Arabidopsis thaliana: one gene and its partners. The protein of the gene in region 2 interacts with the protein of the main gene of each other region in a pairwise test. Each region holds a gene or a part of one and is shown on either strand. Other genes may lie near its edges. The genes, in order: AT5G42420, AT2G38510, GDU4 and CNGC13.

Region 1 (4,120 bases), on a different chromosome or scaffold from region 2:
ATTTGGGAAAAATGTTATTTAATACCTGAACTTTCAAAAAATGGCCAAATTAACCGTGAACTCTTGAAATGGTCGTTTTATACCTCAACAAAAAGTTGACTTCTAATTTAACCTATAATTTATCGTTGACTTCTAATTTAACCTATAATTTGTCGTTGACCCGGCCAAATAGACTCACCGTTAACACTCCTTAACAGCGCTCCTAACAGCCGTTACAAAACATGGCCTAACAGCCGTTATTGTTGGTTTAAGGACAAAAACAGTTGTTAGTTACGCTGTTAGGAGAGCTGTTAAGAAGTGTTAATGGTGAGTCGATTTGGCCGGGTCAACGATAACTTATAGGTTAAATTAGAAGTCAACTTTTTGTTGAGGTATAAAACGGCCATTTCAAAAATTCACGGTTAATTTGGCCACTTTTTGAAAGTTCAGGTATTAAATAACATTTTTCCCCTTCTCATTTACAATTTTCACATTACTTGGGAGCATATGAATGTTTTTATCAGAAGTTCTTTTAAGTCTTCTCCAGTATTCTTGTTTTCACTATCCATATGAATGTTTTATCAAATGGAATATACTCTACATTTGATGTCATATTCTATAAGATAAATAAAGGAATATACTCTTTGAGTGCTACGTAAAACAAGAACATGTGGTCATTGAAGTTATTTCCATGGAATTGGGTAAAAAGATATAAATAACACAAAACATTTGTATAACCAAGGAAACTTTAGATCGAAGCCTAGACACTAATCTCCGAGGATCCGATCTCTTGGTTTAGATAACACAAAACATACAAAAATTATAACAGAACAAATTGTACCTGAAGACTATGTTTCTTTCTCTATCCATCTGTCTCTAATCTTTTGTGCGGCCAAGTTCAACATCTTTTGATTGTGTAGTTTCTACACCTTCCTTCAAAAGTTCAAACTCTTCCTCTGTTAAGCTATGTTTCACACTGTTTAAAGCCTTTGCTGCAATAATCGACTGTTTCTCCAATTCCATTGCCCAACTATAGATTACCATCCCAACAATCGCAACAATCATCCCCGCTACGTTTTTGAAAGTCATTGCAGAATCAAATAGGAGCCATCCAAGCGTGAGGATACAGACGGTTTTCATGTGACCAATAACTTGGAACGATACTGCTGAAAACCGCCCGATGCAAAGGTACTGGCTTATGTTGCAGAACACAGCTAGACCACATGAGAGAAGAATGAATAGCTGCAAATTGTAGAACATTAGCCAATGATAACATAACAATACTAGCAGAGCCATGAAGAGAGATACTTACAAAGCAACCGGAAGACATATTATACTTCATAATGAACTTCCCACTAAGAAGATAATCAACTAAAGGACCGACAACAAGAAGCGAAAAAGCTTGAATCGGCGCTGTTTTACTCAACAACTCAAAGGACCCAATTGAATATTTCTTCTGTAGAGAACCTATTAACTAAGCAACACAGAAGGAAAAAACACCAATTGATCAGATTTGAATTCCACAAGCTTCAAAACCAAATCACCAAACAAAAAGACTTACAATTTGCTGCAAGGATGACGAGAAAATCGCAACACAAGCACAGATAAAACCTTTGGCATTAACTTTAACATCAGTCACAGTACAAATACCAACACCAACAACAACAACCACAACAGATATTTTCACTTCTCTTGAGTATCTCTTGCTATGTAGAATCCATTCCATTACACATACCACAGGAATCATGCTCAGCTTCGAGATCTAATCAACACAAAAAAATGTGAATCCACTAAACCAAAATCAAAGTCTATATATGCTCAAATCAAAGCAATTTGATTCTATATGCTCAAGATCGAGATCGAGATGAATTACTTGGTAGAAGCCAACGGAATTGAGCATGAGACTGAAGTTCATAGCAGCAATAGAGACATTAGCGACAATGGAGAACCAAATAAGCTCCCACATAGGTACATGCTTCGAAGCAGAGAATCCGGTAGCGTTTGATACCATACCGACCAATGCGGTTAAAGCGAAGTGGAAACCGGTGAGAGTTGTAGCTGAGAAAACAGAGATCGGAAAAATCATCAGATCTCAAAAGCGAAATTGATTAAAAAGAGTGAGAGATCGGAGGAAGAAGACGAACCGAAACTAAATGCGAATCCAGAAGAGGACATAAGTTGTTTATTCGCCATGATGATTCCAACGGAGCTTATCACATTCATTGCCCAAGCTCCCATATCGGAGACTGCTGAAGGAGATTTTCTCTCATTCTCCGCCGCCATCTCTGGTCAACTGTCACCACCACCACCGTAGAAGGAGATTTCCGGTGATGCGATCTCGGAGATAGAGAGATAGAGAGAGAAAGAGAGATTCACGCTTTGTTGGAGGCTCACCTTCTGAGAGATTCTCTTTTCTCTCTTTCACGTTGAGAAAAATATCTGACAAATCTCAAATCTGAAATAAATACTTTTAAAAAGGAAGTTGTGTAAGTAGATTTAGTTTTTACTTTACCCGCATCAAAATTCATCATTACAATTACATTAAGAAAATCATTGATTATGTTTTTTTTTTGGACAAGAAAATAATTGATTATGTAGTGACAAAAGTTGTAGATGAGTATTATGACAAAATTGATAATCGAATTTTTTTAGTTGTTGCAAATTTTGATTTTAACGATTTTTTGTAATGAGATTTGAGATTTTCTGTAAATTAAATCTTTAAAAAATATTTCGTGATTTGAAGATTTTCAATTTATTTATTTATGACTAAAGAAACTCTCAATTAGTGGATTAGACAAATAAATCTTGAATTTTGCATTGAATTGACTAAATTATTCACAAACCTTAATCAAAATTATCTGTTGATTTTTTTTATTAACTCTATACAATTTAATTTACAACAAATGTAAATGTCCAAAAATGATATCGTATTTGACACATATATATGGATAAAATAATGTAAACATATTCTAAAATAAATATCATAAGATTGTGTTATGTAAATAATATAATTACAAATATTTGTTTATTTGCATAATTTCCAAATATTTTTAATATTCTTTGAACTTTTTGTGTCACATAATAAATTCTATAACTATGAAACAAACCAACTGTGTGAGAGTACTTTTTAGCTAATATTTTGAATAAAACTATTATTTTCATAAAAACCAATACATATTTATCGAACTGATAATATTATTTTCCCTCTCTTTTTTGTATATGAATATTTTTAAATTTTTCACCATGCATCATTTCTAAGGAAAGTAGGAATAATTAATATGTTTATAATTTACTATATATAAAAAACAACACAAATAAAAGAAAATGACACAAATATATAGTAGTGCTTGTTGACCAGTAACTTAGGCAGATTATGAGGCGAAGGGAACCTCTTTTCATGCTGCCGTTATTTTTGCATTACGCAAAGTCAAAGTCAAAGTCTGTTGGTAACTTTTTGTTTAAGCAGCCAATCCATAAAAGTAAGTCATAACTTTGCATTTTCTTCATGAACTAGTGGAGATCACATTAAAATATTTCGTTTTTTCATGTAAGAAGCATGAATATTTACGATAATGTAACTGATAAATAAAAAGATGACTGGAGAAGTTTTTTTAAAATAATAATAATTAAAGAACATAAATCGATAATACAAAAACAAAACGGAAAGATGAAAAGGAATTATCGTAGAGGTGAGACATTATCAATTTTCTTAATTCCTTAGATATCCAAAAATACAACTATAATATTTTTTCAGACTTATATAAGAATAACTATAGAAGCTTACAACCAAATGAGTTATTAGATCAAATGGTTTCATCAATTCAATGAGTTGAGTTGTAAACTTATAATGAGTTAACATATTAAATATTAATGAGTCTAAGCAGAACTTCTATACTGATTAAATATTATTAATCTTTTCCAAAAAAATATAAAAATATATATACATATATAAACCACACTTCAAAAGAAAATTTAGATTTTCTCGAGAGTTAGTTTTGTAAGTTTTTTGGTGAACATAAGAAAACATTATCTTCGACTTTTGTTGTGAGTACTCTAAGAGGCCTTGTGTTTTAGAAAGAGGAAGTAAGAACTTGGGCATGTAATCTTTTGATTAATTATTTGTCTCTTATTATTATTTTTA
Region 2 (3,732 bases):
GAGCGTGGACTTGGCGGCTCCACATTATGTAATTGGAGGCCGTAAGTTTTGTCACATTCGACATGTTCATGTGAACAATGGAGGTGTTGTTGAGGTTGACGGTTTCAGAAGAAACATTCGACATGGTTGAAGTTTGAAAAACAGAGGAATAAAAAAATCAACGGGGGAGAAGAAGAAAGAAAGGAGAGAGGCGGCTGTTTTTAGGTTTTTTATTTTTAGGTATCGATGATGCTCTGATACCATATAAAGAATATAGAATTGGATGATTTGTATTGAGATGATTTACATTGTTTATATACAGACTAGATGTTCTAGAGACTTCTAATTACAGAATATATAGTTTACATAAGTAGAATTGTGATTGATCTTGATTGATCCTTGATAGATTCGTCACAACTGTTCTCACTACATACTTCTGCGTGTTAGAAAAAGCTAAGCTCAACCAATTAAATGGCTGAGTCTTTTCACAAAATCTTAGTTAACAGTTCGGACACAAATCTATCTTCGGTATTTTTAGTTTGCCAAAAAAAAAAAGTTTCCTATATCATTAACAATCCGTTAAAAATTGTCGATTGATAATTTTAACATTTCTAGCTAAACTAGTCAATTCGTATTTTGTAGTAAACCAATCTCCAGATCATTGCTACTCACATCATCATCGTCTTGTACTTCAGCATGGACGGTTTCGTCTTCCGAATGGCTTTTGTCGGCTGCAGCGGAGGTAAGTTCCTCTGCCCGCTTCACTTGATGAGACCAGTCCGTACGGATTAACGTATAAAGCATCATTACCAAACACGTCATCTGCGCAGATAACAGTCCAAACCATAGCCCACGAAACCCAACCTTAAACCCAAACGTGGTCGTAACTGCCACAGGCAAGCCCACAATGTAGAATGCGCATAGGTTAACGCGTGCTCCATCTTTAGGCCTAGCCGTCCCAGTCAAGACTCCGCAAGCAGCCGTCTGTGGCGAGTTTCCAATCTCGCAAAGCCCCAAGATCGGAAGCGCAGCCGAAATAAGCCCGAGAATCTCCGGTTCGTCCGTGAACATCTTTCCCCAAACCGACCTAAGCGCGGTCACAAAAACAGCAGCTGCTAAACCGTACGCTACCGCGAGTATCAAGCCAATCACGGTCGTACATTGTGCCCGTGTTGGTTGGCCGCCTCCAAGAGCGTGACCTACACGGGTTGCAATGGCGCTGCTAATAGCAAACGGGACTACGTATAGTATCCCGGTGGTCTGAATCAATATTCCCATGGCGGCCACGCTTGCTTTAGGGTTCCCAAGAAGCCCACAAAGAAAAAGCATGATCTCATACCACCAATACTCCAAACACACCGAGATAGCGCTTGGTGCGGCTAGAGAAAGCAGCGGCCACCAGCCGCGGAAAAGTGACCGCAAAGCGAGCCCTTCCCACGGTTTGATTAGAGAATCCGAGAAGCACGTATAAACGAGCAGTCCCACGTCGATATTCATAGTGTTGAAAGCCATTGCGATGGCCACACCCTTAACGCCTAAACGCATACGCACGACAAAGACGTAGTTGAAGAGAGGATGAAGAAGAATGGATACAATGGCAGATATCGTGAGCGGTGATGTTAAGCCTTGCGTTCTAAGGAACGTTCGAAGCGGATGGAGCATGGCCTGAGCCAAGAGCTCAGGGACGAAGAAGAGCATATAGGTTTTGGCTACCTTGGTAATATCTGGGTCCTGACCCAACCGTAGGAAAATGGGTTCGATGTTGAGCCACGTAACGGCGATTGGAACAGAGACGACAATTAAGAGACAGAACATTTTCTGAAACGTGTGGCTAAGTACGGTCCAACGTTTGGCTCCGAAGGCTTGGCCACAGATTGGGTCCATACCAACGGAAAGGCCTTTAAGTACGGAGACTCCAGTGATGTTTCCAAAGCCCATAGCGAGTGCACCACCAGCGAGTTCGACTTTTCCGAGATGACTCAAGAACCACATTGAGATTATTGATCTTGAGAATATGAGGAGTGATGTCATCACAATCGGGCAAGCTATTTTTGTGAGTGACGCCATCTCCTCTCCCACCTGCATGGGAAAAATAAAATTAAAAAATTATGTTATTTTTGTTAGGTTTTTCAATTGAACAACTCTTTATTTTTTCACATGTTCTATAGGCTTCTAGTTCTAGCAAAACGCACTCGAGAAGATATTAGTGTATAGAAAGAGCGCAACACGAGTATGTTGTATATTAAAAAAAAAAAAATTATCCTCAAAATATGATTTAGTCTTTAATATCCTTTTTTAATCATGTTTAATATTTTGTACGTGATTTAATTTCGTTTAATTAACGATATTGCACTCACTAAAAATATTAAATTTTCTGGTATATCATTTATTAATATTTTTATCACAATAAACAAACAAATTTCTTTTCTAATAAGTTGTATGAAAATGGTATTTATATGAGCTTTTTATACATGAGTTATTAAAAAAATCATTGTACCTTAATTGTTTCTTTTTGTCAAATAAAATCTTAAATTAATTTTATTGTGAAACAGAAGGACATTACATTACAATACGGAAAATGATATTTTATCATATTATAAAATTAAGAACAATTTGTAAGCACGAGGAAGATGGTCGCATCACATGGCCACTGGGACTGGGATGAGAAAGTTGAAAAAGGAAGAGAAAAAGGTTTAAACTCTATAACTTTTAGAACTGAATATATAATCAAATTCACAAGTGCCAGAAAAGCGAATGGCTAACTGTACCAACATTCTAGGATCTTTTTAAATAAAAATCATCATGGGTTTTTAAAAGCTCACCTTTTTTGTTTTCTTTTTGAAAAAACAAAATCAGCTTAGATATTACCTTTCATTTCATGATATCTTCATTAAGAATATCCACATTTTAAAAACATATAAAAAATATTTTACGCATAGATACTTGTAAAAGTATCATGAACTACTATTGACATTTCATAAACAATCGGATAAGGATTTCAAGAAAATAAATCGGAAAGTAACTAGATTATATTTGTACTAAGTAAAGAAACTGATAAAAAGAATAGAGTGAGAGGAAACCTATATAGAACACTTTCCTAAGTAAGTACAACCCAACTGTCAAGAAATATAAAGTAAGTACAACACAAAAAGCATCTCTTTCAGTCCATGAAAGTGAGGATTTATCATACTAGTAGTAAGTAGTAACGCTTTAGGCATAAATATGAACATATATACACATATATATATATATATATATATACAGAGAAAACTTATATATAAATGAATTTTCAACATTGTATTTCTCAAGTACGTGAAAGATAGATGAAGCATTATTCATGCTATGTTTTTAAAAGGGATGCATTATATTCGGTTAAAATGCTATAAAAACAGTCAAAAGAAGCATTCAATCCAGTATAAGATCAATTTCCAAGAACTACATATTATTTACCAGACCCAAAAAATACTGCGAAAGTGACTGAAAACAATATAATAATCCATCAAAAATCACCAAATTCTCTGGTTAAACGTAGCAAACGTCTCTATATTAGGATGGTCCTGATCACGAAAACTAGTAGTACAAACAAAAACACAAGAAAACTATGAAATCAAAGAATAAGCAGAGTGATGACTTGTCAAAGCTAATTGGAATTTTTTTGTTGAAGAAAATGTAAGAACAAGAAAAGAGAAATTAAAGAAAAAGAAACAAGCCTCATTGAAAGGGATGCGACGGAGACCAGCAGAGAATTTGGCG
Region 3 (3,599 bases), 5.6 Mb from region 2:
TAATTTCTTTAAAAGTAAATTTTTGTAGTTGGATCAAAAGTTTTCTTGACTAAAAAATGGACCGAGAGAAAACTACGCTATAAATTTGAAGGTTTGAACTCTTTATGTTTTTGACAAAAATAAGAACCCTTTATGTTCGGTAACTTCGATTAGTTAACTGGACTTCATTTAACTAGTTTAATTTCATTAGTCGATATAATTTTTCTGCCATTTTAATGGTATAAACGCCTATGTTTCAAGGGTAACAGAAAATAAGTATTAAGTTTTTCTCTTCTTTAGTTCGCAATGTGAATACATAGATGATTCCAAAATATGCTTTCTTATATATTTGTAAGAATTTAGTTTGAAAAACAGACATGGTCCTTTAAAATGGAACCTGTGAAAAAATATAAACTTAATTCTTTTAACAAAAAGAAAAGAAAAAGTTTATAACATTTGGGGCACAAATTTGCACCTGATCACTACATTTTAATATGATGACAGCTTTATGGATTATTGAGGTAGTGCACCTGGTGCACGGTAGTTGGTGTGATAGTAACAATTGGAAAAAAAAAAAAAAAAAAATCCCACATATGACTTTTATTTGCACTTTTGAAATTTTTTTTCTTTATTTTTCTTTTAAAAATATATTTTTAATATGTAAAATTACTAAATTAACTTTCTTAAATTAATAACAATTAATCAAAAACATATATATTTTAATATCAAATCAATTTATTTGTAATAATTAAAATAATTCAAAATATATATTTAGGGTAATAAATTTTTGAATTTGTTAGTCTTTTATAACTAACAATTCCAAATCTTTATTGCCCTAAATATGTTTTTCTAAACAATAATGACTAACAATATTCTACCGATATTAAGTCATGATTTTTTTTAAGCCATGTGTTATGGTGCAGATTTTAATATTCATTATTATTGTAAAACATTAAATAATTTACTTTGCAAAAAAAAAAGGAGAATTATTGAATTCAAGCAAAGTTTGGTGATATGTTAAGTTGAAAATTGTGTTTGGACTACTCGAGATTATTTTATTTTATATAAGTCCGATTGGTAACACAAAACTGTACAAAATTTTAGCTGTTAGCTATAACCAAAACTTTTTTTGGAATAGTGCAAAGTTGTACAAAAGAATTATACGAGAAAGCTGTACAGTAAAGTTAAGAGTAAAACTTTTTGTAATGTTTTTGATAAAGTTAATTTTTGCGAATGATAACTCTCAAAATAGTACAAGTTATATCGCTTTGAGAATGTGTTACCATTTAAAACCTATAACATGACAAATATTAAGTGATAGACTTTATAATACTTTTAGATATAGAAAAATTGAGAGATAGAAAATTTCTTCATCCAAAAAGAAAGAGAGAAGTTGGATTCCCAATTTGCGGGATCCCAAAAAAATAAAATCCCCATTAGGCATCATAGTGTGTCCTCACAAGAAGATAGATATCGTGCCATAAATTAGAACTGAGAGTAAGGGGTCTTGGAATCCATCTCTCACTCTCATTCCTCTGTCACTTCCAGAAACCAAACTATTCATCTATCTAAATTGATCTATTTGGCTTAAAGTATCTTAGAGTCATCAAGAGGAAACCCCTTGTCTTTCCAAAAACTTTCTCGATATCATGCTATCACTGACATATTATTGGATATAAGACTTATAAGTCTAATACCCAATTATTGTAGTTTGTGTAGTTGATTGATGTCAAAGTTCATATGGTTTCAAATTTATTGGTAAATATTATGATTGATATCCTTTTTTTGATTTTAAAAATCACCATTTATATATTTTTCAACAACCGTTAAGCAAAAATTTTAAACCAATCTGCGGTAGTTCTTGTAGGCATTTTTCAAGTTTTTTTTAGTGTAGTTTCTTAAAGATACTAAAATTTAATTTATCGTGTCTAGTTTAAATTTGTGTAATTAATGTTCGCTATCTTTCTTTAAAAAAACAAGCACCTTAACATATATATGTGTCTATAACAAAGTAAGTTTGAGTACATAATATTGCATGCAAATATATGCGGCAAAACTAAAAAGTAATAAACGGCAAATGAAAAAAAAAGCTGCTTTAATTCAAATAATTAAATATTCGGAGTGACTCACTTTCTTTTTCCCCAGGGACTTCTTACCTATAAATATAACACCTCACCACACCCATTGTTTCATTCATCTTTCCAGCTTTCTTCACTTTTTCCTTTATATAAAGTTAGAAAAACAAAAAAAACAAAATAGTTAGAAAAAATCTGAGAGAAACAGAAGAAACATAAAAAAAATGAGGCCATTGAGCATTAAACCAACATCGTTAGATGTAGCTAGACATGCCACATCAGTAGAATCATTTGGGAATCACCGACCGCCGATATCGCCGTGGCACTCACCGGTGCCGTACCTATTCGGTGGTCTTGCGGCGATGTTAGGCCTCATAGCCTTCGCTTTACTTATCCTAGCCTGCTCTTACTGGCGCTTGTCAACCTCCGGTGATGACTCCGGCGAAAGAGTCGACGAGGAAAAAGAGAGTCGGTCTGGAGTGAAGGCGGCTAGCGCGGCGTGCGAGGAGAAGGTTCTTGTCATAATGGCCGGAGATGACTTGCCGAGGTTTCTGGCCACGCCGGCGGCGAACAAATGCATGTGCGGTCACGAGGGTAGAATGGTAATTTTCAAGGAGGATGGTATTGGTGCTGGAGAGGAGAAAATGGGAGACAGAGAGAAAGCCAAAGAAAATGAAGAAACAACGAGTCAGTGAGCTTTTTTGTTTTCTTTTCTTCTCTCAGTCTTGTCTTTTTTTTTTTGTTGGGGAATTTTCCTTCGTGTTTTCACGGGAAATGTAAAATTTACTGAGAGAAAATTTTGGGTTATGATTAATGAATGTTTGCTTGTAATTTCCTATCCCCAATGGTGGAAAACTCGTTTTTAGTTTTTGTAATTCTCAAAAGTGTGATAGGTAACCTTTCTCATACAGCTTTAATACCAATCAGTAATAGAGTAAACTAAAACGGAATAACATAATAGTACTTAAAATTCTTACAATTTTATGTCATCACTAAGATCTACAAAAAAATGAATCATAGTATCATAACACTATGTTTGCCCAAAAAAAAAAAAAAAAGTATCATAACACTATTGATCATAAATTCAAAGCTTGCAATGTTTCGATGGAAACGTGATTCATCCCGTACACAAACTGTAATTTTATATACATTTTCAGAAACTAATGTAATGCATTAACCCTTTTGTATTACGTATATATTCTCACATTTTATATTTTGTAAGGAGATTCGTTTAGTTACTTTAATTATGAATTGTTATAATTGTGTCTCCTCCATGTATTTGTGTTACTTTCATATTTTCCTTGCATTTATATATTTTATTTACCATAGGATAGTTCTGAATTTGCTATCAACTTGGATATTTTAAATTAATTGAGACTCCATCTAGTTCACCGTCAAATTTTAACTATACTTGTTTAACTATACTTGTTATATAACGAGTGAATAAACTGGAAATAGTATTACTATTAACTATGAACTTACATTCGTAATATTCGAAAATATGTGCGTGAGTTAGTCTTGTCACAAGAAAAGGAATCATATTCT
Region 4 (5,886 bases), on a different chromosome or scaffold from region 2:
AACTCTGATCCGCCATCGATTTTCGATTCAAAAGCTTGGACGAAGAAGAAGAAGTTCGATTTCTAGAGAGGAATCAGAGAGAAATTGGGGAAATTTGACGGAGCCCTAATAATAAGTCTCTCTCTCTCTCGCTGCTTGTTGGGCTAAGATTATTATCTTATCCACACTTTTGGGTTTATGACTGGGCTTTATATTGTCTGAATCTATGTCGGTCAGGAGAAATCGATTTTTTTTGTACAATTTGACCAAACTAATATCTATATATGATATGGTAAATGATGTATTATTAAGTAAAAATTATCTACAATTGAATCTTATAATAAATATATATATATGGAAAAATTACTCTTAGATAAAATAACATGATAAATTGTATGTTATTGGTTAAACATGTTATTTGTTTTTTTTTGGTCAAAACACACACATGAAAAAACAATTTTTAAATAAATTTGTTATATTTACTCCAAAGCTTTTAAAACTAAAAAAAAAATTAAGGTTACCTAAAGTTATCAAATTCATATATATAACCATGTTTTATTTTTATAAAGGTATCTTCAATAGTGATCTCTATATTTTCCTTTATTTATAGATATGACTCTATTTTAGAGGCTGCTCCAATGGTCACATGTAAAATAGAATTTTCTTTAAAATAGAGGAGATATCATCTCTATAAATAAAGATCTCTACATTTAGTCTCTATTTTTTTCCTATTTTTGAGGAAACTCTATTTTAAAAGTGACCATTGGAGCATCGTGCCTATAAAATAGGGTCACTAAATTTTTGTAATTAGTTTAAGCTTTAATGTCGTTGACACAATATTATATACAAGTGGTAAGTGGACATGTGTAAGAGATATTTTAAGGGTTTCGGAGACTGAAATCAGGCTCGGAGGGTTTAGGAGGTAGCAAAGGTAGGTTGTTTGTACGCAGATTGCGAAGCGCGTTTGAAGCAAACCGCGACGCGTATAACGTTGCAACCAGGCTAGACGAAGACGCCGCATTGCGTTCGCGTTTTGTGATCGCGTTTCGGAATCGATCTTCTTCTTCGGTTAATGATCTAGCTAGTTTCCTCCGGCAATGTCTCCGCCACGCCGCTTGTATGAAAGACGCACCCCAAGTTCTCCATTGAACCGAATAAAACCTGACAGTTAAACCGAATTAAACCAAACAGAACCGGAGATTGGAGAAGCAGAGAGATCAGTCAAAAGAGACCAAACAAACCTGAAAGTATGTTGAAGCTGTTTGCTATGTAGTCGTCTGAACTGTGAAGCAACAAGCTTGAGATCATCTGCTGCAAGAGCAAAGGCTTCTACTTCGGTTAAAGCTTGAACTGTTCTAGTCGATATCGGAAAATGAGACGAAGATTGAGGATCTAATGCCCATGTGAGAAGATCTTCGCCGCAAAAGTCACTAGGTTTTAGGTATACGGCGTTAAAGAAGCCGGTCCGGCCACCGTTTGTGGTGGCGCTCATCAGTTTTCCTCTCATGACAAACAACATCTCTTCCACTGGATCTCCTTCTCGAATTGCATAGCTGTTCTCGGTGTAGAGCACTGGTTTTAGCTTGTCACACACGGCATCTAGCAATTGCTCATCCATTATCTCGAACAGAGGTACCTATATATATTTGATTCGATCAATGATTATTTGAATGAAATGTCAAATTTGAGGATCAAAGAGATAAGGTGGAACTAGAAGCACTTACTTTCTTGAGAAGATCGAGGCAGAAATGGCGTTTGATGTCTCTCCTGAGGTCTTTAGGGAGATTACGCAGAAGGTTTTCTTCTTCTACTCCTCTAGTTTCCTGCCATTTGTACTGCTCATACCTTCTGATACGTTTCCTCAAGTCATCGGGTAACATTCGATGAGACATCCATTGCTCTGCATCTCTTTTTCTCACTCTCATCTCCTCTTCCCTCACTGTAGTTGATTCCAAGTATTTCTGTTATGGAAAGTGGAAACATCAGTAGTGTTTTATCTTCCTTGGGGATCAAGTAAGTGATGGAAAAAAGGCAGTGAAATGAATATATACCTGCATATTGCCGATAAGTAGTGCGAATAAGACTAGTCCAGATATACAAATTGATACAGCAAATATGATTTCCCCAACGAATTTGCTTGTATTGAGATTTTGTCCCAATGCACTGCAGCGAGTGAGAAACAGCAAGTGATCAGATTAGTGTTTCATGCTCAACATATCTTAGCCAGCCATCAAGTGTGTCACATGAATCCTAAATTACTAATAACTAGATAGAGAGAGTGTTACAAACCTTAAATTACGCAAACCCCACCAGAAGCAGTAGAAGAACTTCTTCCAGAAATCATCTGATTCAACAATCCCACTCTTTAAAGCATCAGTAAAGATACCAAAGTTGAAGACAGTTGAATTTGTTATATCATCAGGGTTGATAAACGGGCACGAGGTAGTCAGGAAATCGTTTCTAACACTACTGTTTCCATCGCAGTAGAGAAATCTAAAGTTACACACTTCTGGTATCTTCTCACAAGCTTCACGCCAGCATCTGTCTTCTCGTTCTACTGATATTAAGTACCATAAGGCTCCAAACACATGACTGGCTAACATATAGAGAGATAGGTTCCAAGCAGCTCCAGCCCAAGCGGTTTCAGTAACTATGCCAGATGTTCTTGTAACTTCAGTGTAAAGTGGATAGATACGAAGAATCCTTGGAATGTATTGAGTAAATATGACAGTTATCAAATAGTCCTTAGTGATCAAAGAGACCGGCTTGTTGACATTGGGGATGACAGCTAAGACTACAAGCTGCAGCAGATACAACAGAATATTAAAGAACCATCAAGAAGGAACTATAAAACCATTAGGAACTAAAGGTTACCTGTGGGAGTGGAAGGATAGAAAGAAGATCGATGATGAAGTAGGAGGAGAGGTACTTGATGGCTATAGCTTTAGGATCATCAACCAACTCGCCTCTTCCGAAAACACGAGAAGAAGGAGAGATATAAGCAGTTCTAAACTGAAACACAATGTGAATGATGTAGAAAGCATCTATAAACGTGCGAAGCACACTAGCTGCTATCTCCAAGTTACGATGCAAATTAAGACAGTGTCTTTCTCCATCAACAATAGGAATATAGAAAAACAATGGATCAATAGCCAAAGCAATCACTGAAGCAAAAAGAAAGATTTTGTTCCAGTTCTGTAAAAAAGATCCTTGTGGGTTTATAATATTCTTCTGTGTAGTGGTACTAGAATTAGAATCTCTCTTCTTATTATGTGAACCAAAACTTAAAGGTTTCTTAAGTCCTCTACGAACATTCTTCAAAACTGTGTTTAGAGATGGTCTAGCTTTATTTCTTCCGTAACCATACTCTGTTCCCTCTGAAATCCAATCTCTGAACCTAAACAAAAAATCATCAACAAAAAAGAATATTTTTTCTGAGAATCATTCATATCCATAGTTTCTCAGTAAATTCATTCTAAAAAAAAAAAAAGACAGAGATTAAAGAAAGCAAGCAAACAACAACCTTACACGATTGTTGCGGCCAAAAGCCATGAGTCAAGCTTTTTTTGCTATAACGGATCCTGAATCATAAGAACATCGATTTGATCGCTTTAATTCGTTATCCCCAAGTTTACAGTAACAGAAAAAAAAAAAAAAGAAGAAGAAGAAGAAACGGAAACTAAGAAATTAAAACATTTATATCCGAAACTGACCAGAACGTTGAAGTAACTGAGAGAAGCGATATAAGAAAGATTATAGTAAGAATTTTCCGATGATCTGAAATTGGGAAAATTCTCGAAATTAATTCTCTGAAGTTTTTTTTTGAAGCAGTCAAATAAGCTATCATCGTAGAGTCAAGCTTGGCATGGCGCTGGAAAATGGAGACTCCATTGGCAGTTTCTTCGAAATTGTGTGCATTTTACAATAAAAGACAAAAGAGAGGGAATTATTAAAGAGTCAAAAACATTTGATGGGCCTAACCTTAATTAAAAGCCCAATTCGATATTGAATTTGATTTTAAAATTCAGAACTTGTTATATATCAGACCAACACAGTAAACATCATAGATTCCAGTAATGCATCAGCTATAAACAGATCCTAGCAGTGTGAAATAGTAAATATGCTACGATTTAAAGGTTTGGATCCAAAGAATTTTACCAACTTCATAGCAGATTGTTCACACTCTACACTCAATAAGCCAAATGTAAACAAAAAGATGACCAAAGATCTTCACAAATCTACCATGAATCACAAAATCTATGAAGACAATGTGATTTAAAGCAAAGATCTTACAGTTTTTATGGGCTCTTAGTTAAATTTTGAGATAGTAAATTTTCATATAGGCCCAACCGCCCAAGTGAGCAATCTTGCAGGACTTTTGTGTTGTTTATGGCTTTTGTCTTGTCTGACTCATGAAATCTTGTTTTTTTTTGTAGATAAAAGAACGATAAATGACGCTTTTAAAACTTTTTAAAGACGAGAGTTCTAATAAAATTAGGAAATAATAATATATGATGTTGACAAAAAATGTAGAAAAATATATGAAATTTTTATTGGCACGAAAAATTTGTAGCGAACCGCATCATATCATCACTTATATAAGCAATATTTTTTGAAAATAACTCATTTGAATATCATTAATTAAGCAGATGAGAAAAAATGATATGAGGTTATTGAAATTTTTAACCAAATTGTTTTTTATATAAAACATGTAACACTTTCTGTTTGTTTTTTCTTTTATATAATTTTGTTAACACCTTTCTATATTTTCTGCTTTCAATATTTTCTATTTTCTTTTATTTTGAAATAGTATTTTTTTTTGTAGGGATTTGAAAATAGTTTTTTTTTTGTAGGGATTTTAAAATAGTTTTTGAAACTACTAACTAATTATTAATAAAATTCAATGCTTTGAATAAAATCTAAATGGTATACAAATATTAAACTTTACAAGAATATGAGTTAACTATTTAATACCTTTAAGATTTCATATTTACTTTTGATGATATGTACATTTTAATACGTATATGGCAATATCATTGGTAGATACACTATTTCTAACTTAAATTTTAAAATGTGGTAAAAACATAAAATTGAAATACTAAGAAATGTTACTTTAACACTTTTATCCTCAAATTTGGATTTCTGGATGTTTCTATAGGTCGAACCAATAATTAAAGAATTGATAGTAACAAAATGGGTTTTAATATTGATTAGAAGAAAATTAAATTAGGTTAAAGAAAAAGGAAAGAGTAGACGAAAAGTTAAATAAATTTTAATAGGGTTTTAATATTGATTGATATAACTCTCTGACTCTTCTGTGACTCTTTTCAACTTCTGACTCTTTCTCTTTCGCTCTCTCATTCTTAACAAGAAAAAAAACTGGCATCATCTCATCATGAGGAACTCTTTTCCTCCTTCAGACGGTGGGAGATCGACGACTGATCGTCGTCAGCAGTCGTTTCCCTCATCCTCAACGAACCGTTATAACTCTCGCTCTGCACAATCTTCTCCGCCGCTCAACCACTGTACTACTTGGAACCAGCAACACTCTCAGTACCATAACACTAATTTCCCGCCAAATTACAGACGTGATCGTGCTCCGTCGTCGGGATTCTCTCCTCCAGTCACGCGGGCTAGGCCTAATTTCATCGTTCAGCTGCTTCACCCCGCCGCCGCTAACAGTGACACAAAGCTGTCTAAGAAGCAAGAGATCGAGAGTATCGCTTTGCTTTGCGAAATTCCGGAGGAATCAGTTCACGTGCCTCAATTTGGTTGTATCGCTGCAAGCTTCAGTTTTCGTCAGTGGGTCGATGCGCGTTCTGCCGTTGTGGCTCTTTGGGATTATCGTCTTCAAGGGAGACATGATTTTGTTCCTGAGCTGATTCCTAATGTTGTTGTTCCGTCTGA

Evidence for each region.
Region 1: the proteins of AT2G38510 (region 2) and AT5G42420 interact in a protein complementation assay, tested with the Arabidopsis thaliana proteins (one large-scale study listed by BioGRID).
Region 3: the proteins of AT2G38510 (region 2) and GDU4 interact in a protein complementation assay, tested with the Arabidopsis thaliana proteins (one large-scale study listed by BioGRID).
Region 4: the proteins of AT2G38510 (region 2) and CNGC13 interact in a protein complementation assay, tested with the Arabidopsis thaliana proteins (one large-scale study listed by BioGRID).

Annotation. Positions count from the first base shown.
Region 1 is NC_003076.8:16,966,961-16,971,080, reverse strand, and holds AT5G42420 (Nucleotide-sugar transporter family protein), read right to left. Parts: upstream 2,427-4,120; 5' UTR 2,263-2,426; coding exon 2,124-2,262; intron 2,038-2,123; coding exon 1,853-2,037; intron 1,742-1,852; coding exon 1,541-1,741; intron 1,454-1,540; coding exon 1,292-1,453; intron 1,222-1,291; coding exon 856-1,221; 3' UTR 554-855; downstream 1-553. UniProt on the Arabidopsis thaliana protein: Nucleotide-sugar transporter that transports UDP-rhamnose or UDP-galactose and UMP in a strict counter-exchange mode.
Region 2 is NC_003071.7:16,122,317-16,126,048, reverse strand, and holds AT2G38510 (MATE efflux family protein), read right to left. Parts: upstream 2,065-3,732; coding exon 604-2,064; 3' UTR 514-603; downstream 1-513.
Region 3 is NC_003071.7:10,557,201-10,560,799, forward strand, and holds GDU4 (glutamine dumper 4), read left to right. Parts: upstream 1-1,972; 5' UTR 1,973-2,278; coding exon 2,279-2,749; 3' UTR 2,750-3,039; downstream 3,040-3,599. UniProt on the Arabidopsis thaliana protein: Probable subunit of an amino acid transporter involved in the regulation of the amino acid metabolism. Stimulates amino acid export by activating nonselective amino acid facilitators.
Region 4 is NC_003075.7:433,712-439,597, forward strand, and holds CNGC13 (cyclic nucleotide-gated channel 13), read right to left. Parts: upstream 3,881-5,886; 5' UTR 3,693-3,880; exon of another isoform or gene 3,561-3,692; 5' UTR 3,532-3,560; coding exon 3,503-3,531; intron 3,377-3,502; coding exon 2,854-3,376; intron 2,781-2,853; coding exon 2,269-2,780; intron 2,143-2,268; coding exon 2,031-2,142; intron 1,941-2,030; coding exon 1,704-1,940; intron 1,616-1,703; coding exon 1,221-1,615; intron 1,141-1,220; coding exon 858-1,140; 3' UTR 506-857; downstream 1-505. Other genes in the region: AT4G01000 (Ubiquitin-like superfamily protein), read right to left, coding at 1-16; AT4G01020 (helicase domain-containing protein / IBR domain-containing protein / zinc finger protein-like protein), read left to right, coding at 5,375-5,886. UniProt on the Arabidopsis thaliana protein: Putative cyclic nucleotide-gated ion channel.